Stegostoma tigrinum: one gene and its partners. The protein of the gene in region 2 interacts with the protein of the main gene of each other region in a pairwise test. Links are inferred from orthologs where the notes say so. Each region holds a gene or a part of one and is shown on either strand. Other genes may lie near its edges. The genes, in order: zrsr2, srrm4 and srsf11.

Region 1 (10,800 bases), on a different chromosome or scaffold from region 2:
CGGAAACACCCTCTTCGGTCCAACTCATTCACGCCAACCAGACATCCCAATCTGGTCTAGTCCCATTTGCCAGCATTTGGCCCATATCCCTCTTCAACCCTTCCTATTCATATACCCATCCAGATGCCTTTTAAATGCTGTAATTGTACCAGCCTCCACCACTTCCTCTGGCAGCTCATTCCATACATGCACCACTGCCTACGTGTCGACCCCTCAGGTCCTTTTTAAATCTTTCTCCTTTCACTTTAAATCTGTGTCCTATAGTTTTGCACTCTACACTGGAAAAAGGACCTTGGCTATTCATGCTATCCATGCCCCTCATGATTTTATAAACCTCTATAAGGTCACCCCTCAGTCTCCGACACTCCAGGGAAAAAAGCCCCAACCTATTCAGCCACTTCCGGTAGCTCAAACCCTCCAATTCAGGGAACATCCTTGTAAATCTTTTCTGTACCCTCTCAAGTTTAACAATATCCTTCCTATAGAAGGGCAATCACAATTATATGAAGTATTCCAGAAATGGCTTCAATGACCTGTACAGCTGCAACATGACTTCCCAACTCCTATTCTCAATGTTCTGACCAATGAAGGCAAGCTTGCCAAACACCTTCTTCATCACCCTGTCTACCATGTGTGGCTCAGTGGCTAGCACTGCTGCCTCACTGCACCAGGGACCCAGGTTCAAATCTATCCTTGGTTGACTGTGCAAACTCCACACAGACATTCTCCCTATGTCTGCATGGGTTTCTTCTGGGTGCTCCAGTTTCCTGCCACAGTTCAAACATGTGCAGTTCAGGTGAATTGCCCATGTTATATTGTCCATAGTGTCTAGGGATGTGCAGGCTAGGTGGGTTAGCCATGGGTATGCAGGGTTTCAGGTGGGTAGGGGATTGGGTCTGGATTGGATACCTTCGGAAGATCATTGTGGACTCAACGAGCCAAATGGCCCGTTTCCACTATGTAAGGTCCTTCAAGACTGTACACCTGCACCCCTGGGTCTCTCTTCAGCAACGCTCCTTCGGGCCTTATCATTTAAGTGTATAAGTCCTGCCCTGGTATGCCTCACATTTAACTAAATTAAATGCCATCTGCCACTACTCAGCCCATTGGCCCATCAAGGTCCTATAGTACTGTGAAATAACCTTCTTCATTGTCCATTACACCTCCTGTTTTGGTGTCAGCTCAAACTTACTGATCATTCCTGCTTGCATTCACATCTAAATCATTTATATAAATGATGAAAAGCAGTGGGTTCAGCATCGATCCTTGTGACTAACTGCTGGTCATAGCCTCCAATCTGAAAAACAATCCTTCAAGCCAATTTTGTATCCAATTGGCTAGCATTCCCAGATCCCACGTGAGCTAACCTTACTAACTAGCCTATGTAGAACCTTATCAAACGCTTTGCTGAACTCCATATAGACAATGTCTACAGCTCCGCTTTCATCAATTTCTTTGTCTTCAAAAGACCCAGTCAGCAATACAAAACAGGAGTGCTAATAGCTGAACATTAATACAGGAGATACGTGTCCAGGTTTGGTCTCTATATCCAAAGAGTCACTGGCACATCAGAAAAGGGACACAGAAATTAACATTACAATATATTAAAAACAATCAAACCCAAATCAACCAATTGAGTTTACTTACTCCTCAGGAACTACAGCAATCCACATCACTGACAGTTCAACTATTTCCATTTGATTTAAAAGAGGAGAAACTTGTTTTAAAACTATAACATTTAAAGATTTAACATTTAAATAACATGGTTTGACAGATGCTTTAAACAGTAGTTGCCAACAATCCTCATTCCAATATGGAATTTGAGACCTTTTTTTGGTAAAGTGAAAGGCTCTTAGATCTCAAGGGTTACTGACCTTTCAGCTTCCAACTCTATTTCTTCTTCCTCAAGGTTTTCTGCTTCTATATCCTCTTCAATAGCCAATTCTGAAACAGAATTAAAATAATACCACAACTGCAGCTGGCAGAAAGAGAAAGTGTATAGAATCTGAATGCATTGGCATTCATCATTTTTAGTGTAGTATATATTAAAGAACTGCTGATATATATTCCCCACGCTTCAAGACCCAATCTCAGCATGATCACTGGAAAACCTACAATATCAGTTAAGAGAGGGAGGGGGAGGAACTCCTGAAAATCTTTTGGGTCAGAATCCTCAAGTGTCCCAAGATGCAAAGGTCTGCAGCAGTTCAAGGCAACAGTACCTTTTCCAGGGCAAATCAGAATGGTCATTAAATGATAGCCAGTGATGTCTACATTCCATGAACAAAGAAAAAAATTGTCATAAACAGCACTCAATCCTAAAATAACACTAACTATATTTTCTACTGTTTAGCCCTAGCATTCTCTCTAACTGTTCCAGAACATAAGGTCCATGTTCACCTTGTACTGGTCTCTCCGATTCTCTCCTATTGCCCAGCAACATCTCCCAGTTTCTCAGTCCTACCTGACTCCTTTACCAGCCCAAACCCATATCAGATGCCCCCCACCCCCCCGACACCCACAACACCTTTCCAGACCGTCTCACCCGCTACTGGACCCCTGCCAAGGTCCTCCCTCTCCCCTCCAGGGCTCCAACACGCTACTCCCACTCTGGTTCTAGGAAGTGTTCCGCACCCACCGCCTCCCAATCTCTGGTCTCCCACCCACCTTGGGCTCCTTCCTTGTCCCAGGTCCCCCTCTCCCAACGACTCCTTAGTCACCCATGAGTCCCACTCTTCCAAGTTCCACCAATAATATGTCCCACCTCCCAGGAACTGCAGGCACCCCACCACCAACATCCCAAATGTGTTGGTCCCACACCTTGGCTACCCCCTTTTCCACCATAATCCTCCACTCCCTGACCTAACCTGGATACCCTCCCTCTTTCCCACCCCTACGATCTTTCCCTGATCTCCCTTCTCCACACCCCACAACCCCAAATTCTCTGGCTTGCCTCCCCTTCTGGCTGGGCTCCTACCTGCCTGCCGCTTTTTGGCCTCTTCCTGTCGCTTCCTCTTCCGCTTCTCCTTCTTCAGCAATGCTCGTGCCTTCCTGTGACTGCAATGACAGAAAGCAACAGGGAGATACAGAAGAGAGAGACAGCAAGTGCGACTGAGTACAAGAGCAAGTGTACATTTTTCTCTCTCACACTATATTTTTCTCCCTCTCTCTTTTACTGACTCAGTACTTTCTCCCTCAGTATATATTTCTCTCGCATTGTGTGCATGAGCCGCACATAATCTGTACATTTCTCTCACACTAAGTATATTTCTTTCACATACAGCATGTTTTCTCAATGCATATTTTCTCACACATATATATTCCTTTCCCTCTCACATACAATGTGTTTCTCCCTCTCACTCTCACCCAATGTTTTTCTCCCTCACATAGTCTATACTTTTCTGTCACACTCTCGATCTATCTTTCTCGCGCATACTCAGTGCTTCTTCCTCTGTCTCACTCTCACAAAGGGTGTATATTTCTCGCGTGTTCATACAATGCACATTCCACTGTCACATGCACACACCGCAGATGTTCCTCTCCCAAGTACAGCATGTACAAATTTCTAGTCGCTCAACTCTCTCTCTCATGCTGACACGTACAAATTTCTAGTCGCTCAACTCTCTCTCTCATGCTGACACACACAAATTTCTAGTCGCTCAACTCTCACTCGCACTGGCACGTACGCACAGCGAGTGCACTTCTCTCTCGCGCTGGCACGTGCGCACAGCGAGTGCACCTCTCTCTCGCGCTGGCACGCGCACACTGTGTACACCTCTCTCTCGCGCTGGCACGCGCACACTGTGTACACCTCTCTCTCGCGCTGGCACGCGCACACTGTGTACACCTCTCTCTCGCGCTGGCACGCGCACACTGTGTACACCTCTCTCTCGCGCTGGCACGCGCACACTGTGTACACCTCTCTCTCGCGCTGGCACGCGCACACTGTGTACACCTCTCTCTCGCGCTGGCACGCGCACACTGTGTACACCTCTCTCTCGCGCTGGCACGCGCACACTGTGTACACCTCTCTCTCGCGCTGGCACGCGCACACTGTGTACACCTCTCTCTCGCGCTGGCACGCGCACACTGTGTACACCTCTCTCTCGCGCTGGCACGCGCACACTGTGTACACCTCTCTCTCGCGCTGGCACGCGCACACTGTGTACACCTCTCTCTCGCGCTGGCACGCGCACACTGTGTACACCTCTCTCTCGCGCTGGCACGCGCACACTGTGTACACCTCTCTCTCGCGCTGGCACGCGCACACTGTGTACACCTCTCTCTCGCGCTGGCACGCGCACACTGTGTACACCTCTCTCTCGCGCTGGCACGCGCACACTGTGTACACCTCTCTCTCGCGCTGGCACGCGCACACTGTGTACACCTCTCTCTCGCGCTGGCACGCGCACACTGTGTACACCTCTCTCTCGCGCTGGCACGCGCACACTGTGTACACTTCTCTCTCGCGCTGGCACGCGCACACTGTGTACACTTCTCACTCGCGCTGGCACGCGCACACTGTGTACACTTCTCACTCGCGCTGGCACGCGCACACTGTGTACACCTCTCTCGCGCTGGCACGCGCACACTGTGTACACTTCTCTCTCGCGCTGGCACGCGCACACTTCTCTCTCGCGCTGGCACGCGCACACTGTGTACACTTCTCTCTCGCGCTGGCACGCGCACACTGTGTACACTTCTCTCTCGCGCTGGCACGCGCACACTGTGTACACTTCTCTCTCGCGCTGGCACGCGCACACTGTGTACACTTCTCTCACACACAGTTACTTCTCTCTCTCTCTCTCCTCGTTCCACCCTACCCCTCCAACACATATACACACACATATATAGTTTATTTTTACTTCTCTCAGACAGTGACCTGCTCCTCAGCTTCTCCTCCCTGGGGGGTGGACACATTCTCCCCATCACACACCCCCCCCCACACACACGCGCGCGCATACATACATACACATAAATACATACATAGACACACAGACACACTCTCCGTCTTTCTGTATATTTATATGATTTATTTCTCCAGACACTGACCTGTTGCCCGCTTTCTTTTCTCCCCCAACCGGGTATATTTCACTCCCCCGCACTCTACATTTACTGATTTAACCTCCCCCCGCCCCACACACGCACATACACCGTGTACTTTTCCTCTCTGACACTGACCTGATCCTCGGAGGCTCCGCCAACATCGCCATTTTGCCGGGAGTCACGTGGGCGCCGCGCGCCTGCGCACTCCCCAGGCGGTTGGAACGGGAGCTGCATTTGGCTAGCGCCTTTCGGTATCTACAGCTACTGGCTTCCTGATCCGGTCTAGCCGCTGCCCCTCTATCCTACCACCCTCACCCTCTTCTTGAGTACAGGGGTTATATTTGCTCCTTTTCCAGTCTACCAGAAAGTTTGCAGAATCGAATGAACTTTGGAAACTCAAACCAATACATTGTCGCATTCTTAGTCAGTTCTCTTACGTCCGTAGGATTAAGTCTAACAAGGACCGTGAGACTTAACAACCGCAATTCAAATCAGTTTGCTCAGTACTGATTCTTCCTCATGGAGCGATAATTTCTATAATCCTAAACTGCAGACAAAGCAAAATATTTATTAACTTTTTCTGTCATTTCTGCATGATCTCCTATTAACACTCCATTCTCACTCTCTCGCACCCCAGCATTCATTTACTCAGAGATAGCAAGAACTGCCGATGCTGGAGACGGGGATAACAAAAGTGTGGAGCTGGAGGGATACAGAGGGCCAGGCAGCACCGAAGTAGCTGGCAAGTTGACGTTTTGGGTTGGGACCCATCGTCAGAAAAGGGCCTGACTCAAAACGTTAACTTTCCTGTTCCCCTAATGTGTTTCTCCAGCTCCATACACTGTTGTCAGCATTCACTTTACTTACTTGTTTACAAAGCACAATACGCCGGAACAGGTCCATCAAGCCTCCGCTGCCACATTTTGTTCTTCCATACTAAAACTGTTTTCATTTACAGGATCTGTATCCATTTATTCCCTTCCTATTCATGTATTCATCCAGGTGCTTTACTTTTAAAAACCTATGGAATATCTTATTTATTTTTTACATTTCTAGCTAGCATCCCCTCATGCTGCGAATTAATAGCCCTAATTAAACTTTTAGTCATTATTTCTAGCTCTTTATATATTGAAGTCATCTGATCCTCCGGTCACCTTTAACAATTCTTCCCCCCTAAGATTAGTGCTTTTCTGAGCCTCGAATTAACCACAGACAGTGGGTGCATGCCATAGCATTTTACTTTAAAACAGGAATGTACTTCTTTGAGTATTCTGAAGTGTCCTATTAAATGTTGCCACTGCTTCTTGCTTGTTCTATCTCCTAGTCTAATATCCCAATTTGCCTCAGCTAGCTCTCAGCTTTCATGCCTAAGTATTTATTTAAGTTTAACATACTCAGCTTAGACAGCCCCCCGCCCCGGCACTTCTCTCTTGAAATTGGGTGTAACATTCACTCATGTTAACACTGCTGGTCACTGAGTCATATAGATCTGCACAGCCTTCATTCCATCTTGTCTGTGGGGGTCAAAAGCAACCACCTAACTATTCTAAATCCGCTTTCCAGTCGTTCACCCATAGCATTGTACACCTTAGCATCGCAAGCATACATCTAAATACTTATTAAATGTTACGAGGATTTCTGCCTCTACCATACTTACAGTGAGTTCCAGATTCCCACTGTCCTCTGCTGAAAAAGCTTTTCCTCACATCTCCTCTAAACCTTCCACCCTTAACTTAAATCTGTGGCCCCTGGTCATTCATCCTTCTATCAAGATGACAAGTTTCTTCCTGCCTCCTCTTTCTATGCCCCTCATAATTTTATACATCTCATTCATGTCCCCTCTCAATCTCCTCTACTCTAAGATAAACAACCCCAGTCTGCCCAAGAGATAGTAAGAGCTGCCGATGCTGGAGTCAGAGATAGCACAGTGTGGAGCTGGAGGAATACAGCAGGCCAGGTAGCATCAGGGGAGCAGGAAAGTAGATGTTTCGGGTCAGGACCCTTCTTCAGAAAACAAAAATTAAAATAGTTAGACGGTTGCTGTTTCTTCCCACAGCCCAAAGTGTGCAGGCTAGGGTGAATTGGCCATGCTAAATTGCTCACAGTGACCAGGGGTGTGTAGGCTAGGTGGATTAGCCATGCAGAATGCAGAGTTCCAGAGATAGGGTGGGTGTGTGGATCTGGGTGGGATGCTGTTCGGAGGGTCGGTGCAAACTTGATGGACCGAATGGCCTGCTTCCATGCTGTAGGGATTCTATGATTAATTCTATGTCATCTACACAGAGAAACTTGCAGGCAGGTCAATGGGTGCACAAATTTCATGTGGTGGGAGTCCATTTGTCTTTTTCCTTCAGACACGAGTCTTGTCACCAACTTGTACTGTGAACTAGCTGTCCCATACTAGCAGTCCCACAGTGCCAGTAACCCAAGGAGGGAGAATTCTTAACATTTTGTCAAATGCACCAATATTTATTGGAAGAGGGCAAGTTGAGAAAAGTCATCACAAGTTAAGCGCACAGCTTCAAGAGTACAGTTTTATTTTGTTTGCACAGGCATGCAAGTGTCAGGAAATGATGTTGAAGCTTTATAAGACTTTGGTTAGGTCACACTTAAAGTATTGTGTTCATTTCTGGTCACCACATTACAGGAATGATGTGGAGGCTTTGGGGAGGGTGCGGAAGAGGTTTACCAGGATGCTGCCTGGATTAGTGGGTATGAGCTAAAAGGAGAGACTGGAAAAACTAGAGATAATGGGAACTGCAGATGCTGGAGAATCCAAGATAACAAAGTGTGAAGCTGGATGAACACAGCAGGCCAAGCAGCATCTCAGGAGCACAAAAGCTGACGTTTTGGGCCTGGACCCTTCATCAGAGAGCTCTTCTGCTTGTCCTGCTGTGTTCATCCAGCTTCACACTGCACAAGCTAGGATTGTTTTCTCTGGAGCAGCAGAGGGTGAGGGGAGACCTGATAGAGGTCTATAAAATTATCAGAGGCATAGATAGGGTTGGCAGACAGAATCTTTTTTCCCCAAGAGTTGAAATGTCTAATACTACAGGGTATGCATTTAAGATGAAGGGAGAAAGTTCAATAGAGGTGTGAGGAGGCAAGATTTTTATGCAGAGAGGGTTAGGTGCTTGGACTGTCCTGGCGGGGGCTTGGTGGAAGTGTTTAAGAGACCATGAATATGCAAGGAATGAAGGGATATGGACCAAGGCCAGGCAGAAGGGATTAGCTTAATTTGGCATCATGTTCGGCACAATATGGTGGGCAGAAGGGCCTGTTCCTGTGCTGCACTGCTCCATGTTTAATGCTGTAGGATGTGCTATTTGCTGTTCCATTCCATGAGTACTGCTCCTGTTCATTGCATTACTTCCATATTGGAAATATCCCTGTCATTCTCTTCCCATTTCAATCTGTGCCTCTCCTGATGCCCTTCTCAACCTTGCTTTCCAGTTTCCTAGCCCTGACCCTACCTTTTGCAATGCGGACATCAAATCTCTGCATCACCATTACCCTCTCAGGATAGTGTGACATGTTGTATATAATTTTCCGTTCGAACAAACTTTCAACCTTCCCCGGTGCATCGCGACAACATTGCTCCTGCCTGTTTGGACTCGCTCTTCCATTGGAAAGGTCCTCCACACACTCCTTTAAACATTATGGCTTTTTAAAAAAAACAATAAGAGCTATTATTCTGCATATGGCTCCAAGCAACGACTGGTCAGGATGTGAGTTTGCTCGCTGAGCTGGAAGGTCAGCTTAAAAGACCCCATACAGACAACAAGCAAAACGAACGTCATTTACAAAATACCTTGCAAGAACTGTGACAAACACTACATTGGACAAACAGGCAGAAAGCTAGCCACCAGGATACATGAACAAAAACCAGCAACAAAAAGACATGACCCACTATCACTCGTATCCTTACATACAGATAAGGAAGGACACCACTTTGATTGGGACAACACATCCATCCTAGGATGAGCCAAACAGAGACATGCATGAGAATTCCTAGAAGCATGGCATTCCAACGGGAACTCCATCAACAAACACATTGATTTGGAGCCCATCTACCACCCGCTAAGAAAAAGAACAGGAAATGACATCACCGACACAGGAAATGACATCACCAACCCAAGGAAACCTAAACAGTTAAATAGAAAGCGGGACATAACACCAGCACTTCACCGGACGCTTACTGATGATGTTACCTAGTATGGTGACGAAACTTCTGAAAATGAACATTCCAGCTCAGTGAACCAGCTTCCACCCGGAACAAAATAAAGACCCACTCTTTTGTGGACCGAGAGGAGGAGAGCATGACTGTTTTGGAGGTGGAAGGAAGACATCAGGTTGGCTGTGCACCCTTGCAACCAGTGGATCTTAATGCTGGCTTCGGCCTAACGCCGGGTCAGGGGAGCAGCCAACCTGCAACGATGGCTGCGGCGAGTGCTTGTGCCCCGGGTCGGGGGTCCGGAACACCATCCGTGTTTCCGTTGAAGAAGGTGGATGAAGGTGCACCTGTGGACCGCACCTTCTTCGTGAAGAGGGTCCTGTTGGACTGTTATGGGTTCACTGCTGCGGACATTTACTGCCTGCAGGATTTCCCCGGAGGAGGTTTTTACGATGTGACCTTCAGGAGTGCCAAGCTTTGCGAGCGCTTCCTGGAGGTTTTCAAGGAGAAAGGAGGTGAGGGCCCCCTCTCTGTACTGACCGCTGTCCCACTGTTCATGATGCCAGCGCAGAGGAGCCGTATGGTGACTGTACACATGTACAACCCGCATGTGCCAGCAGTTGATGTCCTGACCTTCCTTGGAAGGTATGTGAAGGTGGAAGGGGACCTAACCAACATCATGGACCCCTTTGGGATCTGGACCAGTAAGAGGCAGGTCAGGGTGACGCTGAGGACGGGAACATTGTGGCAGGTCAGGTCACGTGGCGGCCGACTGCAAAGCCACCATCTGCAGGAACTGCAGGGAGGAGGGACACCTTGCAAAGGATTGCCCAAAAGAAAAAAGCTGCAACCTTTGCGGGGAAGCGGGCCACTTCTATAGGGCATGCCCGTGGCAGGGGACCACCTATGCCCAGGTTGCCGACAGGGGCAATGTGGGGGAAGCCCCCCTGGAGGAGAGGAAGGCACAAGGCCCTTGCAAGGACCCCCCTAATGTGCAGGAGGGCCAGGTCATGCAGGAGGGACCAGCCCCACAGGACAGACCCGAGGCCAGGAAAGCGCCCCTGCAGGCTCTGCTCCCCCCGACAAACCGGAGTCAATGGAGGAGGCGACAGGTGACCCAGGGGAGTGGACGACGGTCCGGAAGGCGAGGAGGAAGGTGCGCCGGCGAGCCCCAGCACCACAACCGTCAGGCAGGAAGAGGCAGCTACGGGGGTGCTATAAGAGCTCCTCTGACGAGGGGGATTCAGAGGAGGCCTGCTCAAAGCAGAAGCTGAAGATTTCCAGGGAGGAGGAAAGCTGCACCACGCTTCCAGGTGACGGGAGGCGTCCTGAGGCCACGCGCCCCTTGGAGGGCCCCCCGGAACCTTCAGACAGGAAGCAGGAAACAGCGTGTCCCCAGCCTGACCCAGAGCCGGACTCTCCTCCCTCCGTGCCCCCGATGGGGGGATGCCACCCGGAAGGCAGCACGGACGGTTTCCTGAGCCCGGAGAGCGTCCAGCAGTTAGCCTGGGCAATGGGCATGAAGGGACAGATGGAGGGGCTGGACCTTGGACTTGGGGAGGGTACTGCGGTCACTGCCC
Region 2 (10,695 bases):
GGCTCAGTGTGGCTGTCTTCTCTGGGGTTGCTGGCTGTGGAGGTTGTGGGCGGAGCGATGAGGTCGTCGGCCGTGGGCGGGGTTCCGTCGGCGTCGGCCGTGGGCGGGGTTTCGCCGGCGTCGGCCGTGGGCGGGGTTCCGTCGGCGTCGACCGTGGGCGGGGTTCCGTCGGCGGTTGGAGGATCGGGGTGGGCGGCAGCAGCTGCGGTGAGGGTGGTGTGTCAGGTGTTGTACCTGGACGTGGAGGTGGTGACTGCAGCAGCGGTTCCGGAAGTTCTGTGGCCGGCGGAGGCCGATGTGACGTCATCGGTGGGGTCTCCGGCCGTGTCCTCATGGTCAATGGCGGCGGGTGCATGGTGGGGGAGGGGCAGGGACAGAGTCGGGATTTGGGAGGCGCAGGAATCCTCTTGTGGGTGGCAGGGGCCCGTGAGTTGGTTGTACTTACGATTTTTGGTGTCCAGTAAAGCTGAGTGGAACTGGGTGTTCAGTCTGTGGATCCTGTGGAGGATGAAAAACAGCAGAGGTCCTTTGCAGGTCTGGGAGACGGAGGCTCTGAGCTGGGGCAGGCTGGATTGCAGTGCCTGGAGGTGACGGCGCATGGCTGCGAGTGTCTGTTTCAGGACTCGCAGGGAGAAACGCTTCTGAAGGGTCTGAATATTCTGGGTGTAGAGGTGGTCACGGTTGGGGCCAAATTGGGAAGGCTGAAATGTGGACTGTAGTCCCTTGGGGATGATCTGGTTCCGTAGGCAGGTGCTGAGGAAGGTGATGTGGCTGTGGTACCTGGTTTGCTTCAGGACATGGTCGAGCAGTTTCAAGGCCGAAGAGATTACAAGAGAGTTACAATGGGAGAGAGATTCCCTGAGGTTGGTCCGGAGGGAGGAGGGTAACTTCTTCAGGTTAGGCATCCCTGGAAGAGGCTTCGCAGAGAGGTTAAAATAGTATCAGAGATAATGTGAACTGCAGATGCTGGAGAATTCCAAGATAATAAAATGTGAGGCTGGATGAACACAGCAGGCCAAGCAGCATCTCAGGAGCACAAAAGCTGACGTTTCAGGCCTAGACCCTTCATCAGAGAGGGGGATGTCCTCCTCCTGGACACCACCCCCAAGCCTCCGACCCTCCCTCGACCTCTTCATCTCCAACTGCCGTCGAGACATTAACCACCTCAACCTCTCCACCCCTCTCACCCACTCCAACCTCTCCCCCGCAGAACGGGCAGCCCTCCCCTCCCTCCGCTCCAACCCCAACCTCACCATCAAACCCGCAGACAAGGGTGGCGCAGTGGTAGTATGGCGCACTGACCTCTACATCGCCGAGGCCAGACGCCAACTCTCCGACACCACCTCCTACCGCCTCCTCGATCATGACCCCACACCCGAGCACCAAACCATCATCTCCATTCACGACCTCATCACCTCAGGGGACCTCCCACCCACAGCCTCCACCTCATTGTTCCCCAACCCCGCACGGCCCGTTTCTATCTCCTTCCCAAAATCCACAAACCTGCCTGCCCTGGTCGACCCATCGTCTCAGCCTGCTCCTGCCCCACCGAACTCATCTCCACCTATCTGGACTCCATTTTCTCCCCTTTGGTCCAGGAACTCCCCACCTATGTCCGTGACACCACCCACGCCCTCCACCTCCTCCAGGACTTCCAATTCCCTGGCCCCCAACACCTCATATTCACCATGGACGTCCAGTCCCTGTACACCTGCATTCCGCATGGAGATGGCCTCAAGGCCCTCCGCTTCTTCCTGTCCCGCAGGCCCGACCAGGCCCCCTCCACCGACACTCTCATCCGCCTAGCGGAACTCGTCCTCACACTCAACAACTTCTCTTTTGACTCCTCCCACTTCCTACAGACTAAGGGGGTGGCCATGGGCACCCGCATGGGCCCCAGCTATGCCTGCCTCTTTGTAGGTTACGTGGAACAGTCCCTCTTCCGCACCTACACAGGCCCCAAACCCCACCTCTTCCTCCGGTACATTGATGACTGTATCGGCGCCGCCTCTTGCTCCCCAGAGGAGCTCGAACAGTTCATCCACTTCACCAACACCTTCCACCCCAACCTTCAGTTCACCTGGGCCATCTCCAGCACATCCCTCACCTTCCTGGACCTCTCAGTCTCCATCTCAGGCAACCAGCTTGTAACTGATGTCCATTTCAAGCCCACCGACTCCCACAGCTACCTAGAATACACCTCCTCCCACCCACCCTCCTGCAAAAATTCCATCCCCTATTCCCAATTCCTCCGCCTCCGCCGCATCTGCTCCCACGATAAGACATTCCACTCCCGCACATCCCAGATGTCCAAGTTCTTTAAGGACCGCAACTTTCCCCCCACAGTGATCGAGAACGCCCTTGACTGCGTCTCCCGTATTTCCCGCAACACATCCCTCACACCCCGCCCCCGCCACAACCGCCCTAAGAGGATCCCCCTCGTTCTCACACACCACCCTACCAACCTCCGGATACAACGCATCATCCTCCGACACTTCCGCCATTTACAATCCGACCCCACCACCCAAGACATTTTTCCATCCCCTCCCCTGTCTGCTTTCCGGAGAGACCACTCTCTCCGTGACTTCCTTGTCCGCTCCACACTGCCCTCCAACCCCACCACACCCGGCACCTTCCCCTGCAACCGCAGGAAATGCTACACTTGTCCCCACACCTCCTCCCTCACCCCTATCCCAGGCCCCAAGATGACATTCCACATTAAGCAGAGGTTCACCTGCACATCTGCCAATGTGGTATACTGCATCCACTGTACCCGGTGCGGCTTCCTCTACATTGGGCAAACCAAGCGGAGGCTTGGGGACCACTTTGCAGAACACCTCCGCTCAGTTCGCAACAAACAACTGCACCTCCCAGTCGCAAACCATTTCCACTCCCCCTCCCATTCTCTAGAGGACATGTCCATCATGGGCCTCCTGCACTGATGCCACAATGATGCCACCCGAAGGTTGCAGGAACAGCAACTCATATTCCGCCTGGGAACCCTGCAGCCATATGGTATCAATGTGGACTTCACCAGTTTCAAAATCTCCCCTTCCCCTACTGCATCCCTAAACCAGCCCAGTTCGTCCCCTCCCCACACTGCACCACACAACCAGCCCAGCTCTTCCCCCCCACCCACTGCATCCCAAAACCAGTCCAACCTGTCTCCGCCTCCCTAACCGGTTCTTCCTCTCACCCATCCCTTCCTCCCACCCCAAGCCGCACCCCCAGCCACCTACTAACCTCATCCCACCTCCTTGACCTGTCCGTCTTCCCTGGACTGACCTATCCCCTCCCTACCTCCCCACCTATACCCTTTCCACCTATCTTCTTTACTCTCCATCTTCGGTCCGCCTCCCCCTCTCTCCCTATTTATTCCAGTTCCCTCTCCCCATCCCCCTCTCTGATGAAGGGTCTAGGCCCGAAACGTCAGCTTTTGTGCTCCTGAGATGCTGCTGGGCCTGCTGTGTTCATCCAGCCTCACATTTTATTATCTTGGATTCTCCAGCATCTGCAGTTCCCATTATCTCTGAGCAGGTGTTGCTTGAAAGCAGTGTTGATGACACCTTTCAGTCTTTGAGTCTTTTGACCATTTGGATACATATCAGCAGAATCATTGAGAAGCGTCGATCAGATCTGGGATCTGGGCTAACATTTTCTTGGGCTCAGGCTTATTATCTTTGTTGAAATCAGTTTTGCTACTTCAATTGTTATGAAAATTTCAGTATCACATTTAGCGTCTCTATTAATCTAGGATGAATAAATTTGCCCACTTGTTTCACTTTCTTTCCATCAATTGAAATCATCACCATTATATTTATTGGCTTATGACTAATAAGAGTCAGCAAGTATTCTGATTTTCTTTATGTTCATTTCACGCTAAATTCATTAGGAACATTGTTAACTTCATCCATGTTCCACAGAAATTGATCATTAGTCTCATCCATTAACACAACATATCTAAGTTTCTAATGTAACTTATGCCTTCTGCAATAAATAAAGTCATTCACAAATATAAAAGGGAATTGAGGAGATCCCATTCCATATGGAGAATAGTTTGAATTGTGGAACTTTCTTCTCCAAGAAGCAGTTGAACAGACTAGTTATAGTTTTATTTAAGGGGCAGCTAAATAAATATGAGAAAAATAGGAGTATTGTGGATAGAAAGTGAGGTGAATAGGTGTAGGAGAAGCTCATTTAGAGCAAAATTACCAACATGGACCAGTTAGACAGAATTACCTGTTTCTGTGGCATACATTTTATGTAATATTTTAGTAGCAGTGTTAATATGTTTTGAAGCAAGCAGATTAACAACTCACTGAAAATACATTTTAAACAGGAACAAAGACATTTGGCAATCACAAGAAATAGATATAAGACTCTCAAACCTTATTCCCTTCAGATGCAGCTTTCTGCTGGCAACACGAGCTCCTAACTGTTCAAGTGTCATTATCCCAGTGTCTGCTCAGTGGAATGGGTAATGACAGTGGGCTGTGTGAGGAGGGGGTGCCTGTAATTTAGGTCAAAACACATTCAAATAACAGGGTTATGGATAAAAAAAAGGCAAGCTTTGAGAATAGGAAATACAATTATAACATTTTGCAGACGGGGCAGAAGGAAAATGCAACGCATTCTGTGTCATAATTTATCATGGGAGTGGAAAAGAAGGCTTCATGCAGGAGGTTTTTTTTAATACAAAAGGAATCAGAGTACAATAGTGACATTTCAAGTGAAGGTTAAGAATCATTTGAGGACCTTTTTTGCAGAAGATTTAAAGAGGAAGTAATGTAAAGTAATGGTTTTGGCTCCATTCAAATGGAAAAGAAGATGCTCCAAAGGTTCATTATCCTATAGATGTTAAAAACTGGCAAATCTGTAATCTGAAGATGGTTGCAGAAAATAAACTGGAGATAGGAAGGAAGAAAGATTACCTTGAGGCTTTGTGAAGGCATTAGCAGACACGAAATTAATAAATAAGTAGCATGACAGAGGACGTCAAGTCATAATTAAATGAAATTTGGGAAAATTTGGTGGGGAGTAAAATTCAAAAACTACATCTTGGAGTGCAAAGATAAAGCCTGTGAGATTAAGTAGACTGAAATATGATGTGGAGAATTGTGGTTTATAGTAAGCTGGAGACTGTTAAATATAAAAAAGTAGAATTTAAAGCAACTGCAATCAGGACAGCAATTCACCAAACTAAGAGACAACTAAAGATTAATGAAAATGCACAGCAATAATTTGCAATGTATCTTGTGCTAGGTGTTGCAGGTAACCTGCTAGGCGTTGAGGATAGCACACTAATAGCTCAAGTAAAAAATTAAATTTAGCACTCGGAATATATGTTAGTACCAGCCATAGAATTCAAGAGTTCATTATCCATCGTAGTGAAGAAATACAAAAGCATTTACATAGCTCAGGAAGAATTCTACTCCCAATGCAACTGCCAATTTAAGATTTAATAATTTGATGCATCAAGAGATAACAGATGAATAAGTAAAGGAGTTGTGTGAGAGACAATAGAGACTATATCAGTCCTCCTTGGGTAGAAAAGAAGGGAAAGGATTCATATTCATGACTAATTAACTCCGAAGCATTTTCATCAGATTTCAGCCTGGCTTCAGGCACACTCACACCTTCTGGTCACTTATTCTCACCTGCACTCTGATGCTGATGCCAATTCCATGTTGCTGAATCTCTGAAGGTGTTATCACCCTCATCTTGCTGTCACTTTAATCTTTTTGTCACTCTTATGGTTCTATCTCTCTGGCACTGTAACTCTGGTTGTCTTCCGAAGGATGCTGTCACTTTGATGGTGTTTTTGCTCTGAAGGAGTTGTTGCTCAAAAAGTGTTGTCACTTTGATACGGATTTAATCTCGCAACACGTTGGTACTCGCATATTGCTGACACTCCAAAGTTTCTGTTGCTGTCACATTGCTGACATGCTGATTCTGTTGTCACTTTGATGGTTCAGTCAATGATAGAGTTGTCAATCTGTGGTTTTTATCACTTTGATGGAGTTGTCATTCTGAAGCTCTGACTCATTGACAATGCTGTTCACTCTGAAGCTTTTGCCACTCCTGAGTTGTTGCTCAGACGGTGTTGTCTCTCCGATGGAGCTGTCATTCTGTCAACACTCACTCTGGTACTGTTATTCTGGTGGTGCTTTCACTCTGGAGCTATCACTCTGATGGTGCTGTAATTCCAGTGGAGCTGTTAATCGAAGATGTCACTTTGATGGCACTGTCTCATTTGCCAACAACAAAGCATCGTGATTATTTTACAAACTGGAATAAATTAAATGGATTTTTTTGCTGGGCAAACATAGGAAATATTTGGTAGTCCAAAATGCATAACATCAGAAGTCAGAATAGCTCACCTTGACTGTGTCAGCCTGTTCAAAGATCTATGAAAATGTCCCCTTCCCATTTATTCTGTACAACCCAGCTGATATCCTCTTTTCAAAGGTTTATCGAGTTTTCTGCTGTAAATTACTGTAGAATGTGATGCATGGTGTGTGACATATATATTATTACCATTTATTTTAGAGTTTGGACTTTGAATCAGTGGCATTGGGTTTTGGTCTCTGTATTTGAAAGGGTTTAATGATTAACTTACTACTATTTCTGAAGCAATCATTTTAAAACCTGTTAGAGAGCAGCTGACTGGGACCCACGTAATGTGAAAATGTGAATTTGTGTTTATTATGGAAGTTTTACTAATGGAGAGTGCAAGCATTAAAAGCCATTAGCTTCCTTTTGCTTTAAAAGAATCAAGAAATGATTCTTGATGAGGTAAAACACATGGTTTGGAAAGCTTTGGTTTTAGTCCACAGAATACCTGGCTAGTGTTATATGTTATTTCAGTTTCTCTTGGAGGAAAGAGTCAGTTCAGAAATAGGCTTTTAAAGTCCAGACCAGAAGTGTTTGTTTAGAACGCTGAAGGTGTTATCTGGAGCTAATAAAATGCTTTGCTGTATTTATAATCAAGGAAGAAGCTGACAATTGCTCAAGAATGGGAAATGAAAGAAAGCATCCAAGCTGAAACTATAGCTGTAATAATGAAATTGTTTCTGGTATTTGCAAACTGTAATGTGATGACATTGAAATAGATGCAATTTTGTTTTGCCTTGTGTTTAGAAATATTTCAAATTGTATTGTATGTAAACAGCTTGCTTTGTGTTATTTTTATCTTCATTTCTTTTGCATAATGAACTTCTGTTTTATTGTTGAAACTAAATCTGCATTTTATGTAACTATGTTTCAGTGAAAATAAACACCATGTTAAATAAAAAGAAAAGAAAATCATGATCTCTCAAGCCAGATTTCAGTTTGGGATCTGACTCATCCAACAGTAACACCACTTCTGATCACAACTTGAGAGTAATTGCATCATTCGCCAATCAATTAAATCTGTGTCCTCGGGTCACAAATTCTCTTGGTTTTGAACATAAATGATGGAGCCAGAATTCAAGTGTTTACAGCGTTCCTCTTTTAATATGGAGATAATTTGAAACTAATACATCAGAAATTGAGCAACATAAGCATGACAGAAAAAAATGAGAGGGTTAGCACTGTCAGAGTGACAGCACTCTCAGAACATCAGCTGCATCAAGGTGACAACACCATCAGTGCTGCAGCTCCATTGGAGTGATATCTCCCTCAAACTGATAGGACCATCAGAGAGACAACAATTGGGGTAGTCTTAATCTCAATCCAGATGAATTCTGAATATTTAATTTGCAGGTAGGACAACTGAACTTGTCCAACTTAACTAGTCATACAACAAAATTTTGTGCTTGATTTTCCTTTCAAGACATCAAATGAAATGTTTTTTGGATGGAGCTCAAATGATGATCACATTTGACAGTTGGTGTTTGTTAAGTGCTATTAAAAATGACTCAATGCTATATCAATGCAAGTGTTATCTCTAGTTCAACAAACCTACGAGTTAAATTCTTCATGATTACTGAAGAAAGTGCAATACAAGTTTTACTGGTCTTTTTTATCACTACTTTGCCATTCCCAAATACGGAAAAATCCTGAAGCATTGCTGGTCCACATCTTCACTGATTTGGAGGAGAATATATCAGGAAATACACCATTGTTTGTAAAATAATGACCACAATGTCATAAAATGAATAATTGTATGTTCTGAGTATGATCTTTGAAAGAAACAAGAGACCAATGAGCAAGGCCGCAATTTAACCACACATTGTAGAACGCCTGCAGAAAATTGACTTTGTATATGAAATATTTTTATTCCATTTGTTTTAGTGGGCCTCTACTGTTTGTAGAAAGCCAAATAATGAATTGGCATACTGCAAAATGTCTGCAGGTAAGTATGAATTTCTGCCCTACTCTGTGCATTGTGCATGATGCTGACGGTTCAAAAATTAGGCTTAAATCCAACTGTGCTGAGCGACCCAATTAATGTATGAATTTCTGAGAGGAGATTTTTTTGAAGGATGCTGCAGCTCAGAATTACCCAGATCAGAGCAACTTTGAAGCTCCTATTGACAAATTGTGTGTTTAGCTTCAGGTTTAATGGTATGGGTTTTCGGTGCTTTTGAAAAGGACATCTACACAGGTGTTGTATTCACTTCCTCTTAATAGAAAAAATCAACCCCTTATAGATGCTGAACAAATAAAATTTGGCAAAAAATATACTACATAACATGGCCCTTCATCAGTGGGAGGGGGTGACAGTGCAAAATTGATATTTTAAATAGCAGCACTTGTATGAGAAGGCCTTATTACCTCGAGCAATACAAACAGCAAGAACTAAACAGTTTGGGACATTACCTTGTCCACAACTCAGGATCACTGAGCTGTTGTTGCTAAGTAACTAATGAGTCAAAATCGCAGCCAGCAATCTTCTTGCTCACATAAAATGTTGTCTGTGCTGTTTGAACACTGTTTAAAGCATTTGTTAACCATTTAATCTAAATGGATAAACAAATATCTGAGCATTGCTTGCAGGGGAATCACATAAAAATGCGATAACTCAGTGGCTAAAATATCACTGAAGGTGGTTTATATCCTGCCTAAATCCTGCAGGCCCCCTCCAATATAGGGACCTTCTCTAGCATTCTGATTAATCTTTAATAATTACATTTTAAATTACATATAATATCCTATACATACATAGGCCACCTAACCTAACAACACCATGCCAACATTTATCCCTCTTCATAACTACACCTGCAAAAATCTCAATTCCCTTTCCCCTTGTCAGTAAAGGTGAACCTTCATTACATCATCATCCCGACTCTCATCAACTGCTTCCTGTAGGAAGCAGCTACACATTTGCACAGTCCTTTGGGCCTAGAAGTTTCTCTTGAAATCTCTATTTGATTTCAAGGTTGCTAGTAGGTGTTTATTGATTTTTTTTTCTCTTCTCCACAAGTGGGTCACCATATCCTTTTGTAGCCATTCATTCAAGACATCTCTCTATGATTTCAAGGGAAATATCCATTATCCATTTTCCCTCTTTTATGTACAAACTCTTTTGGCAGTCTTGACTGAGTATTTTCTCAAATACAAAGCAGAGCTCAGCTCTTACCTGGAATGAGAAATAAAGGCTATCTATCTATGTTATGTGTAAGAATCTTATGCAGATGAGAACGACTATTTCAGTCCAGTTCTTGAAGTAAGGATATTGGGCCCATTCTATGGTTCGATTTGGAAAAATAGCAAATGCAAGGCTAGTGTAACCCACATTGTGCAGGTTACAGGCCATGTTAAATGTTGTAATGGGAGACTGGCATGTCAACCTCACTCCCCATTCCTCCCACCACACACCATCACCATGTCTGATTTGAATAGGTCGCTTTGCATCTAATGACTGCCTGGGAAGCTTGACATACATCATTCTTGGGGGGAAAAAATGGGTGCAGACACAAAATCTGGCAACAAAACAACCTGTAAAGAGTTGCCATTGACCAGTAAAAGGAACATTGTGCTATTGCTGGGAGGGTAGAAAGGAGGATGGACATGTTCACAAGAATACTCAGCTCCTTTTGAAATAGAAGAATGAAGGGTGCAAGTTATATGGGGGCATGGTCACCAACTAAATCAAAGCAATCCTCCAACGTTCTTGCAATGAAATGCAAATAAGGAATGTTTGCAAAAGCATTTTTTGCAAACAGCATTTCATGTTTTAAAGCTGAATACTCTATTTTTCTTACAAGTGAAGATGGCAACAGATGTTCAAGCTTTTAGAGTAATGTAGCTGACTGTTAGAGGTTTCACAATGAAGTTCACGACCATAGCTGCCAAAATCTTGCCATGGTGCGCTATGAGTCATCCTCATATATTTGCTCCCCTGCATTGGAGGTGGATTCTGAACCTAGAGAAGGCATCATGCTTATTTTAGACAATAAAAAGTTCAATGATGTCTCAATGTCAGTAAACAACTAAGTAGGAATTGAGTGCAAACCTATTTTGTTTATGCAAAGCCTGGAGCTGATATGAGGAGCCATGATGCTCACATGGAAGTCATCAGTGATACTCTCCATTGAATATGCATATACAGTGCAGGACATGTTGTGTATGAAAATCCATATGTGTGGCCACGCAAACTGTTTGATCATACTGAACATTTAAAATGGAAAGCAACAAAATATTGCAAGGAACATTAGGCAGTCAATAATTAGCTACATTAAACATGAAGAGAAAGAAAGTACTGGAGGA
Region 3 (11,240 bases), on a different chromosome or scaffold from region 2:
AGCCTTCAGCATTTTGCAGTCTTCAAACTTGCATCAAAGAAGCAAAAACTATATTATGTATCCTTTGGCTAGAATCACGTTCAAAGAAAATTTTGAGCAACAGTTTCTTCAGTTTTGTAGTCCTTTATGATTTTCATTCTTTAAGAGTGCATATTAACTGAATGTGCAAGTGTTTTTCACTCTCTCCGCACGAATACACGTTACTGATTCTTATATACGCTTTGAATAGATTTTAACAATATCTACTCTGTAATTTCTGTAGTAGCTTTAAGGTTGCAGGCAACACTGTTTCTTTTGTTATCTACTGCTTATTGCCACTCCAAAATGTGGGTCCTAGGCAACCAAACAATCCAGACCTTGGCTTGCCCACAAAACAGGGATGGAGCAAGTGGTTCTTTTGAGTCAGGTGGGTGGAATGATACTGCAATGCTCCTTTTGCTCGGCCTCCATCTGGGCCTGTCAGAGGTGCTTTAAATGGTTAGATTTTTGCAGATACTAATATTACAGTTTGGGCAAGTGATTCTGGCAAGCCAGTGAAGATATTCTAATATTTTCATGGAGGCTTTGACATGCTCTTAAAGATTTTCCTCCGACTTTCAGTAACTACGGGCTGCGGAAAGCTCAGAGCAGAGAACCTGTTACGGAAGTCTTGTGTCACGACACACTTAGCAATGTGGGCTGCCCAACCGGCTGATCAATTGTAACCAATGTCTCAATGCTCGAGAGAGGGCACTGATAATGGGGAACCTATTTTGCCCTGGATTTGCAGGATATTGTGCAGGCATCATCAATAAAATTTCTTTAGAGATTTTCTGTCTATTTTACAACGTCTCCTAGATATTCCGAAGGACAGATTACATTGCTGCCCTGTACACCATGAGCTTGGTGCTAAATCTGTGAAATCTTTATCAGATCACAGATTTACAAGTGTAGAATTTCTTATTAATGCCTGACCTCACTGACAAGCAAATAGTCTCTACTAAAAACACACAATCAGAACTCCATCCTAATGTGAGTTCTATAAGACTACCTCACTTGACAAGGAGTCCAGAGATCATTTGTTAGGCAACACTGACACCATAGCTTTAATCTCACGTAGGTATACAAAGGCATGTTAAGGTGCCCTGCAAAATCACTTACATCAAAGTCTGATGTCATGAAGGAAGGCTATTTTGTGTGCGCGCGCACGCATGTCAACAGCACATGGAATACTTCCCAGAAGTAAATGACATTTCACAGAGCTAGTTACAAGAAAACAAGAAGTAACATCAGTACATGGTCATCCTTAAAGGCCAATCAAAACTAAGTTATGTTTCACTTGGCACTGAGCGCAATATTAATTGACCATGCAGATGGGCTGTGGTTTGGAAACAGTTAATAAGTACCAGCTTCCACTAAGCAAACCGCATGCTGAGTTTTAAACCTGCAGAGATGTCCGAGAGACTAATCCCCTTTACACTTGCACTGCTGTTTACTGAGCCATTCAGTACACTGCAGTATTACATTAACGCAGGATTGTTTATCCTAACTATTAACGTGCTCTTTCAAGTCTTAAGGCATCCCAAAACATTATATAATGAAGGAACTGCTTCTGAAATATAATGTTGTGTTTTAAGTGTATAATTAGTTCTGATAGGAGAATGAGAAATGTTAAACTTGTCAGATTAATGATTTCATTATATACAATTATAAAAAAGTATTGGGTTGCAGGTACTTACATTTAGAAAGGAGACCACAAGAGAAATTTGAAATTTATGTACCAGGCTATTATAATCTAAACAGTGCAGCTGGAAAACAAAGCAGCAATTTAAGCACCGGGGCAGGTGGCATTCGTGTCCAAAGACTTAATATTCAAAAAGGAATTCAAACACCACCTTTTAACAAGTAAAACTACGCCACAAGATTTCAATTAAAAAAATACATATATTGAACAAATTAAACAGAAGTACAATTAGATTATCAGTATAGCTTAGTTTATATTGTACACAGGTCTGCATTTCACTTGCCTCAAGCTTTCTTACAAGGCAATCTTAAAATTATTTACTGCCATCAAGACCAAAGTCATTCTTAGCTCCAGCAATTCTGAGGTAAAACTTGCCCTGTTCTCTCTTGACCATGGAAGCCCAAGTCCCTTTTTTAGCTACTTTTCCAACACTCCAAGGTAATCCACTTACTTTTGCAATAAGACAATGAGGCCAACTGAATTTCCGCACTAGCTTCAAACGAGGTAATCTTTCACCTTCTGTTCAAGATTCAAACTGAAATTAAGCTTCATTCACCTTTGCATATGACCAATAATGAAGCTCATATTTTTCTCTGCCTCAAGTGTAAGCCAAAGCAAATGCTGTGTGCCAACTTCTAAGCTGCAAGCCATATCACCAGCTAAAAATCTCTCCCAGTAAATATCCAGAAAAACTGAAATCAGAACACTTTCCTAAGCTCCACCTAACCTCACGAAATAGCCTCCAAATCCACCTCTACATTAATTCTCCATCATTCACTTTTTTTTTTGACCTGAAGTAATGACTGTATTTTACACAACTCCTTGAAACTAAACTGCTTCTAACTCAAAATATTTTAGCAGCTCTCTGGACTCTGTCTGCAAGTGATTCCCCAATTTACTAAGCTCACCTGCTATTTTATAGCGCACTCTCTTCTATTATGAACTAGCATTTCTCCAGGTGTTCTGGCAAAGCCCAGCATTTTAATTATCTGGTCTTTATGGAGTGGAAGGGGAGAAGTCTGGGAAACCGGAGGAAAGCAGAGAAAGATATTATTAAAAATAAACACAAAAAGATTAAACTTAAAAAAAAAACTTATGTACAAGGGGAGAAAATAGTAGATAGACCTGGGCAATTCATTCCACAGTTCCATTAGAACCAGGAGGCCTGTTTATAATTACCAGACAACTGTTTACACAAGTTGATATCAACTGTATATCATGCAGTTTTAAATTGTAAATGTCAATCATACTTGAATTGTGTCAGCAGGATATTATGCTTGTGGACAGACTGCCACTCCTGCCATGGAATTACATATAAACTATTTTCAACAGAGATTATATTCACAGCCTCTTATTTTACACTAAGTTCAAACTCAAAACCCTGATCCCATCTAAGATTTTGTCTCTTGTGCCAACATCGGAATCAAGACTTAAGTATAATGTGAACATCTGAACTAGGAAGTTAACTCTCCACCATTCAATAAGAGTTTGGTTGGTTGATTTACTCAAAATTCACACTTATCCCTATAACCTTTCATACTTTACTCATCTGAAATCTAATCAACATTTGTCTTAAAAACATTCAAAATACTCTGCTTCTAATACCTTTTGAGGAAATGTCCCAAGACTCTTTGTAGGAAGAAAATCTTCCTGTCTTTAAAAGATTAATCCCTTATTTTTAAAGCATTGACACTTAGCTCTCTCACACAAGAGGAAATATGCTTTCCACATATATCCTGCCGAGACACCCCTGAATCTTGTGGTCCAATCTTGTCACTTATACCATCTCAGAACTATGGAATACCCTATTCTTCTTTCCAAATCATCTAGACACTGGACTAAATATTAGCATCATTTTACGAGCAGTGATAATTTATTCTTCCCTGCAGTGCTGTCCTCTGGACTCTGGTTAAGTCATCTTTGTTCATAAAAAAAACTTCCAGAAAACCATTATCCAGCAAGTAACTGTTGAGCATAAAAAAGCATTAGTTAATAAGTTAGCTGATTTATGAAGGGATAAGAGGTATACCTCTGATATCAAAAATTAGGAAGTAGCTATGATAAATCAGTCACCAAGTTTAACAAAAATAATATTTGAAACTATCTTTATGCATAACAACCTCAAAAATTTTTAAGTCAATCCGTACCCAAATTCTTCGGGTTTAAGGTTGTTTGCTTGCTCGCTGATCTGGCTAGTTATGACAAAGACGTTTCAACGCCATGCTAGGTAACACCAGTGCGGCCTCCAATGAAGCAATGTTGTTCTACTCCGTTTGGTATTTTTACTATCTGGTCTGTTAAGCTGGTGTGAGTCACTTCCGGTTCTGTTCTGCATCGGTTTGTATGTGGGGTCTAATGTCACACGTTTTTGATTGCATAAGGGTGTATAAACATCAGCTAGTAGCAAAACGACACGACGAACTGTCCCTCGTCTCGGCACTCAGACAATAAAGGCCATCAATTTAACTGGGACAGTGTGACCATCGTAGCTCAAGCCAGCCACAGATACACACGGGGAATCCTAGAGGCCTGGTTTTCAATCCATAACGCAATCAACAAACATGTGGAATTAGACCTAATATACAAACCCATGCAGAACATAACTGGAAATGACACAGCCCAACTTAACAGACCGGATCACATTAATACCAAGTGGAGCAGAACAAGGCGGCTGGCATTTCGGGCCTAGACCCTTCATCAGAAACGTAACATGTCAGCCTTCCTGCTCTTAAGATGCTGCTTGACCTGCGGTGTTCATCCAGCTCCACACCTTGTTATCTTGGATTCTCCAGCATTTGCAGTTCCTATTATCTCGGAGTAGAACATCATCATTTCATCGGAGGCCGCACTGATGACGTTAAGTAGCACAGTGACGAAATTTCTGAACAACAACCAACCCAGCAAGCAAGCCAACAACTTCATCCACAACCCAAGCTACAAATCTTCACGAGCTTTAAATCTTCAGGTTTAAAGCATGTACATCTTTGCCTAAGGAAACAAACAGAAAATACCTGAAAAGATAATTAAGCAACGTAATTAAAATGTTACAGGGAACTGTTCACCGTGCCAATAATGCCACTTTAACAACCAAGTCTCAGGAGAGAACAAATCATAAATATATACAAGTATTATAAATAAACACTGTACAAATATAATGATTCAGAGTCTCAAGCAATATTCGAAAAAGGATAAAATGTTTAATGTTCAGAATCATCCTTCTCTAACGTAATATGCATTTACCGATGTGCGTTCCTTTCAAAAGATGTTGTCAAGTCTTGACAACAATAAAATCAGTTATAATTTTCTCACTTTTAAAAATAAAAACCGACTCATCCAGCATCTGCAGTTTCCATTATCTCTCATTTTTTAATTCCGTCTGTTTTTCGGCCGAAATTACAAATTGAGTCAATGGCTAACGGCTTTTGTAAGACCATGAAAATTTCACTTTACTTGTGTTGTCATACGCCCATTTCTCCTTCAGTAGCCTATTTACTTCCCCACACTTAAGAAACACGAGGTGTAGGCCGTACGACACTTGAAGTCTGCTTCTGAACTGCTCGCGCTTTTCTTTTCCTCACAAAATGTAGCCAATTTTATTCAAAACACTGTTTAACACATTTAATAATGATTAGTAGTAAGTTCACAACATCATTGAACAATAACGATCGAAAACAAGGATCGTCTGACAGGATTGACGAAAGGTGTTACATTGGCGGCCATTTTGCTTTACCCCGGTAATAATAAATCCTCCAAAGCTTGGGTACCTTCAAATAAACATCTTTCAAATAAGAACATTCTCGTTTCATTTTTTTTATTCAAAGAACACCGTCGATATGAATCCTGATAAAAACAGCTTGGAACATGTGGTGGGAATAAAGGAGATGACGCGTATGAGATGGCAGCGAGTCCAAACGCCACACAATAGAGGAGAAAAATTGCTACTTCGTAATCGTTTACGAGGAAAGGAAGAAAAAAGTGAATACTTTCACTCAAGGATTATATCAAGTCGTACGCTCATAAAACGTACGCCCAACAGAAATTTACTTTCACTCAAAAAGGAAAAGTCTTAAAAGCGGATCCGACGCGGGCTAGGCCCCAGGCCTGTCTGGAAGTTTGGAGTTACTCACTCTGATGGGAAGAGCCGCAACTCGTCGATTTTGCCCAGAAACCCGAACAGAGTTTTCATCTGCTCCGAGGTGGCGCTCGGCGACACATTGGTCACTTGAATGACGTCTGTAGCCATCTCGCGTTTTTAAATAAAGGTTTTATTTTTTTTAAAGTAATTACTTTCTCGATCCAATTTTTTCAACGACGTTTTCTTGAACCTAAGACATTAAGAATACAGAAGAAAATAAACTATATATGACAATTCACAGATAATTTAATCGGCACTGCAAACTCCCGGGTCTTCGCCCCGAAACCTTCAACAACAACGGGCAGGCTCCGCGGTATCCCACAATCCGGCGCGATTCAACGCGCAAGCGCAGCACGATCCTTCCTTCCCCTGGCGGCGGGCGGACGGAAGTGAATATCTTTCTGCCTAAAAATCCGGCCTAAGCGACTACCATTTTCAGGAGATTTCGGAGCATTTACCATCACAAAAGAAATGCAAAGTAAATAACATTTCTGACTTGGAACATCTGTGGAGAGAAGCAGAGTCAATATTTCTCAGATGTTACCAGACCTGCTGAGTGTCTCCAGCAATATTTATTTTGTTTCGGATTTCCAGCATCCACAGTTCTTTGTTTTATACCAACATTACTGCCTTTACGGTCTTTCTATTTATCAACAAAAGAAGTCAAGTTTTCTTCCTCTTCAGTGCCTGTCATTTTCAGTTTCTTGGTGCAGTGCTTTTCCCACAACAAATGCTTCAGAGATTTGAAATATATTCCCAGAGGATTTAGAAAGTGTGGAGCTGGATGAACACAGCAGGCCAAGCAGCATCTCAGGAGCACCTTGTGTTCCTGACATGCTGCTTGGCCTGCTGTGTTCATCCAGCTCCACACTTTGTTATCTTGGATTCTCCAGCATCTGCAGTTCCCATTATCACTGATATAAATAGAAAGTGTTGTGAACAGTAAGACAGGCTGCATCTGTGGAGAAAGCACAGTTAATGTTTCAAATTAGTATTTTGTAAAGTGGTGAGAAGCTTCTAACCAAATGCAGCAGCAATGTGGACAACTTTCAACTTTTGTGTAGATAAATAAATGAGCAATGCTCATGCCACACAAGTTCCAAGCAATGCATAAAAGAAAGTTTAACCACTTCCCCATAACATTCAAAGGCATTGCTGAATCCTGCTCTATGAACATCTGTGTGTAACCCTTGACCATGCAGAAACTTGGAACAACCACCATATATAGTAGGGGAATGGAACACTTTCCCTGCAATGGTAGTAGATTCGCCAACTTTAGGTACATTTAAGTCGTCATTGGATAAGCATATGGACATACATGGAATAGTGTAGGTTAGATGGGCTTCAGATCGGTATGACAGGTTGGCACAACATCGAGGGCTGAAGGGCATGTACTGTGCTGTAATGTTCTATGTTCTATGTTCTATCATGCCACAAGTCCAGGTCAGAAGCTGAGAATTCTGCAACAACTTACTCATCCCCTAACTCAACAAAGCTTTTCACTATTTACAGAGCACAAACCAGGAATGTGATGCATTACTTTTCACTTGCCTGAATAAGTACAATTCCTTCTGTTCAAGATCTAGGGCAAGGTGAATTGCACCATATCTACCACTTCAAACATTTAGCTGGAGTGTGTACATTTTAGAGATGCACTACAAACATTTTTCAATGCTACTTCCACAGCACCTTCCAATTCGGGACTTACACCACCCAAGACAACAAGGGCACCAACAAGGACATGGAACACTAGTCATGTACCATTTTGACTTGGAAATTTATCACAGTTCCTTCAACATCCCTCCTTAGGAAATGTTTCAATTACCTGAGTCCCCTTCAATCCCAATATTCTTTCTGAGAATCAATGAATCAAACTGAGTACTTGATAATTTCAAAATTATATATCTCTCGTTTTCAATGGAATGACACAGTATTTTTTTCTCCACTTAATATCATTACCACCTGCAAATATTAAAGTTGAAGCTTGAAACAATAATATTTTGGGGGGCAACCTAAATAAAAAATGTCAATGTCTCTTTAATGAGGTAAAAAGCTATTTTCGAACCATTAATGGGAAAACCTACGTAAAGAAGCTTAATGTGTAGGTATAACAGGCAATTATCAGGAAAAAGAATGAAACATTTTTCACATGATGGTCAAACCTAGATGAATTCCAGCTTTAAAAAAGCTGCTATATGGTAGTTCTAATGAGGAGGAGGTCTTAGAAATTGATAATATTGAAAAACTAAGTATGTTTTTAGTTCAGAGACAGAATAAGAAACAGATGTCACATGCATTTTCTTTTGTTTCCAATTTCTTTGTGTAAATGTAAGTTATTAAATCATATATTCTCTCTCCAAGTTCAGTTTGACAGCTGTCTGCTGAAAGCTACTGAATAAGCTTGCAAAAGTATTCAGCAGAGAACACTTTCAACAATCTAAAGGATTCCTCTGCTACTAGGAAGTGAGACAGTTGTTAAATACATAGAACGCCATCAAAAACTGCCAGCAGCCTTTGCAGGGATTGGGGTACAATTCTAGCCTTCGGTGACTGTGTGAAGTTTGCATATTCTCCCCACGTCTGTGTGAGTTTCCTCCCACAGTCCATAGATGTGAAGGTTAGGTGGATTGGCCATGCTAAAACTGTCCGTAGTGTCCAGAGATGTGCAGGATCAGCCATGGTAGATGTGGAGTTATGGGGATGCGGTAGGTGGCTGAGTCTGGGTAGGATGCTCCTCAGATGCAGATTTGATGGGCAGAATGGCATCCTTCTGTAGGGATTCTATGATTCTATAAACATGAGTATTTCCATTATCATTTGTGACATAGTAGTACATTTTTATTTTAATATACAATCTTCACAAAATACTAATGCATTTTCTTTTTTAATATTGTATTTGCCGATTTAACTTTTTAGTATGTTACTGTATTCAGTTTTGCTGCAAAATGTCAAAATTATCATCAAATCCCTCCAGTGTGGAAACAGGCCCTTCAGCCCAACAAGTCCACACCCCTAATCTACACATTCTTGAACATAATGGGCAATTTAGCATAACCAATCCACCTATCCTGCACATCTTTGGAGTGAGGGAGAAGACCCACACAGGTATGGGGAGAATGTGTAAACTCCACACAGCTAGTCACCTGAGGGTAGAATTGAACCTGGGTCCCTGGTGCTGCGTAGCAGCAGTGCTAACCTCTGAGCCATTATGCTGCAAGTAAATTTTGTTACGCCATACATCAGTCTTGTGTTTGTTGCTTTTGTTCACTTTATAGACATTCTCAATCTCAGTGTTGGTTCACTGGGTTCAAATATCACTTTAGTGACTTGAACGCAAAGTGTAGTCAACCACTCCACTGTAGCACTGAGGGAGTGTTAAAATATCATAGATATTTTTGTACGCATAACATGTTAAACTGAGACCTTGCATGTCCACTTGTGCTTGTAGAAGCTTGTATGTTTCTGTTTATATTGCAGGTAAATCTCCTGTTACTTTCATTGCTGCTTCCCATTCTTATCCATGATGTCAATGTGCTTCAGACTGATGCCAACAGTAAGAAGTTGATTCAAATAAAAGCAAAATACAGTGCATGCTGGAACTCTGAAACCAGCACAGAATACTGGAGAACACAGCAGGTTGAGCAGCATCCACAGAGGGAGAAAGAAATTTAATATTTTGAGCCTGGTATGACTTCAGAAGAAGAGACATTTCAGACTCAAATATTAACACTGTTTCTCTTTTCACAAAGGAGTTGATTCCCCTTCCAAGATAACAAACTGTGTGGCTGGATGAACACAGCAGGCCAAGCAGCATCTTAGGAGCACAAAAGCTGACGTTTCGAGCCTGGGCCCTTCATCAGAAAAGGGGATGGGGAGAGGATTCTGAAATAAATAGCAAGAGAGGGAGAGGTGGACTGAAGATGGAGAGAGGAGAAGATAGGTGGAGAGGAGAGTATGGGTGGGGAAGTAGGGAGGGGATAGGTCAGTCCGGGGAGGACGGACAGGTCAAGGGGGCGGGATGAGGTTAGTAGGTAGGAAATGGAGACGCGGCTTGAGGTGGACGGAGGTGATAGGTGAGAGGAAGAACAGGTTAGGCAGGCTGGGACGAGCTGGGCTGGTTTTGGGATGCAGTGGGGGGAGGAGAGATTTTGAAGCTGGTGAAATCCACATTGATACCATTGGGCTGCAGGGTTCCCCAGTGGAATATGAGTTGCTGTTCCTGCAACCTACGGGTGACATCATTATGGCACTGCAGGAGGCCCAGGATGGACATGTCGTCTAAGGAATGGGAGGGGGAGTTGAAATGGTTCGCGACTGGGAGGGGCAGTTGTTTACTGTGAACCGAGTGTAGGTGTTCTGCAAAGCGGTCCCCAAGCCTCAGCTTGGTTTCCCCGATGTAGAGGTAGCCACACCGTGTACAGCAGATGCAATATACTACATTGGCGGATGTGCAGGTGAACATCTGTTTGATATGGAAAGTCATCTTGGGGCCTGGGATGGGGGTGAGGGGACAGGTGTAGCACTTCCTGCAGGTGCAGGGGAAAGTGCCAGGTGTGGTACGGTTGGAGGGGAGTGTGGAGCGGACAAGGGAGTTACGGAAAAAGTGGTCTCTCCAGAAGGATGGGGAAGGAAAAATGTCTTTGTAGATGGATTGTAGATGGCGGAAGTATCGGAGGATGATGAGATCCCCTCACAGTGGTCAAGAACCCCTCGACCGTGTCTCCCGCACCTTATCCCTTCATACCCCGCCCTCACAATAACCGCCGCAAGAGAATCCCCCTAGTCCACACATACCACCCTACCAAGCTCCGGATACAACGCATGATCCTCCGACACTTCCGCCATCTACAATCTGACCCCACTAGCAAAGACATTTTTCCCACCTCACCCTTGTCTGCCTTCCGGAGAGACCACTCTCTCCGCGACAGCCTTGTCCACCCCACATTTCCCTCCAACCCCACCACATCCGGCACTTTCCTCTGCACCCACAGCAAGTGCTACACCTGCCCCCACACCACCTCCCTTACCCCCATCCCAGGCCCCAAGATGACTTTGCACATCAAGCAGATGTTCACCTGCACATCTGCCAATGTAGTATACGGCATCCGCTGTACACGGTGTGGCTTCTTCTACGTTGGGGAAACCAAGCTGAGGCTTGGGGACCGCTTTGCAGAACACCTACGCTCGGTTCACAGTAAACAACTGCACCTCCCAGTCGCAAACCATTTCAACTCCACCTCCCATTCCTTAGACGACATGTCCATCCTGGGCCTCCTGCAGTGCCATAATGATGCCACACGTAGGTTGCAGGAACGGCAACTCATATTCTGCTTGGGAACCCTGCAGCCCAATGGTATCAATGTGGATTTCACGAGCTTCAAA

The links.
Region 1: the proteins of srrm4 (region 2) and zrsr2 interact in binary tests that used the Homo sapiens proteins (3 or more experiments, as listed by UniProt). The link is inferred for Stegostoma tigrinum from reciprocal best matches to the Homo sapiens genes SRRM4 and ZRSR2.
Region 3: the proteins of srrm4 (region 2) and srsf11 interact in binary tests that used the Homo sapiens proteins (3 or more experiments, as listed by UniProt). The link is inferred for Stegostoma tigrinum from reciprocal best matches to the Homo sapiens genes SRRM4 and SRSF11.

Annotation. Positions count from the first base shown.
Region 1 is NC_081365.1:79,360,155-79,370,954, forward strand, and holds the start of zrsr2 (U2 small nuclear ribonucleoprotein auxiliary factor 35 kDa subunit-related protein 2), read right to left. Parts: upstream 5,226-10,800; 5' UTR 5,214-5,225; coding exon 5,182-5,213; intron 3,058-5,181; coding exon 2,978-3,057; intron 1,945-2,977; coding exon 1,875-1,944; intron 1-1,874. UniProt on the Homo sapiens protein: Pre-mRNA-binding protein required for splicing of both U2- and U12-type introns. Selectively interacts with the 3'-splice site of U2- and U12-type pre-mRNAs and promotes different steps in U2 and U12 intron splicing.
Region 2 is NC_081379.1:35,810,690-35,821,384, reverse strand, and holds the start of srrm4 (serine/arginine repetitive matrix protein 4), read right to left. Parts: upstream 4,408-10,695; 5' UTR 4,389-4,407; intron 1-4,388. UniProt on the Homo sapiens protein: Splicing factor specifically required for neural cell differentiation.
Region 3 is NC_081361.1:52,972,288-52,983,527, reverse strand, and holds the start of srsf11 (serine/arginine-rich splicing factor 11), read right to left. Parts: upstream 6,178-11,240; 5' UTR 5,967-6,177; coding exon 5,851-5,966; exon of another isoform or gene 1,141-5,850; intron 1-1,140. UniProt on the Homo sapiens protein: May function in pre-mRNA splicing.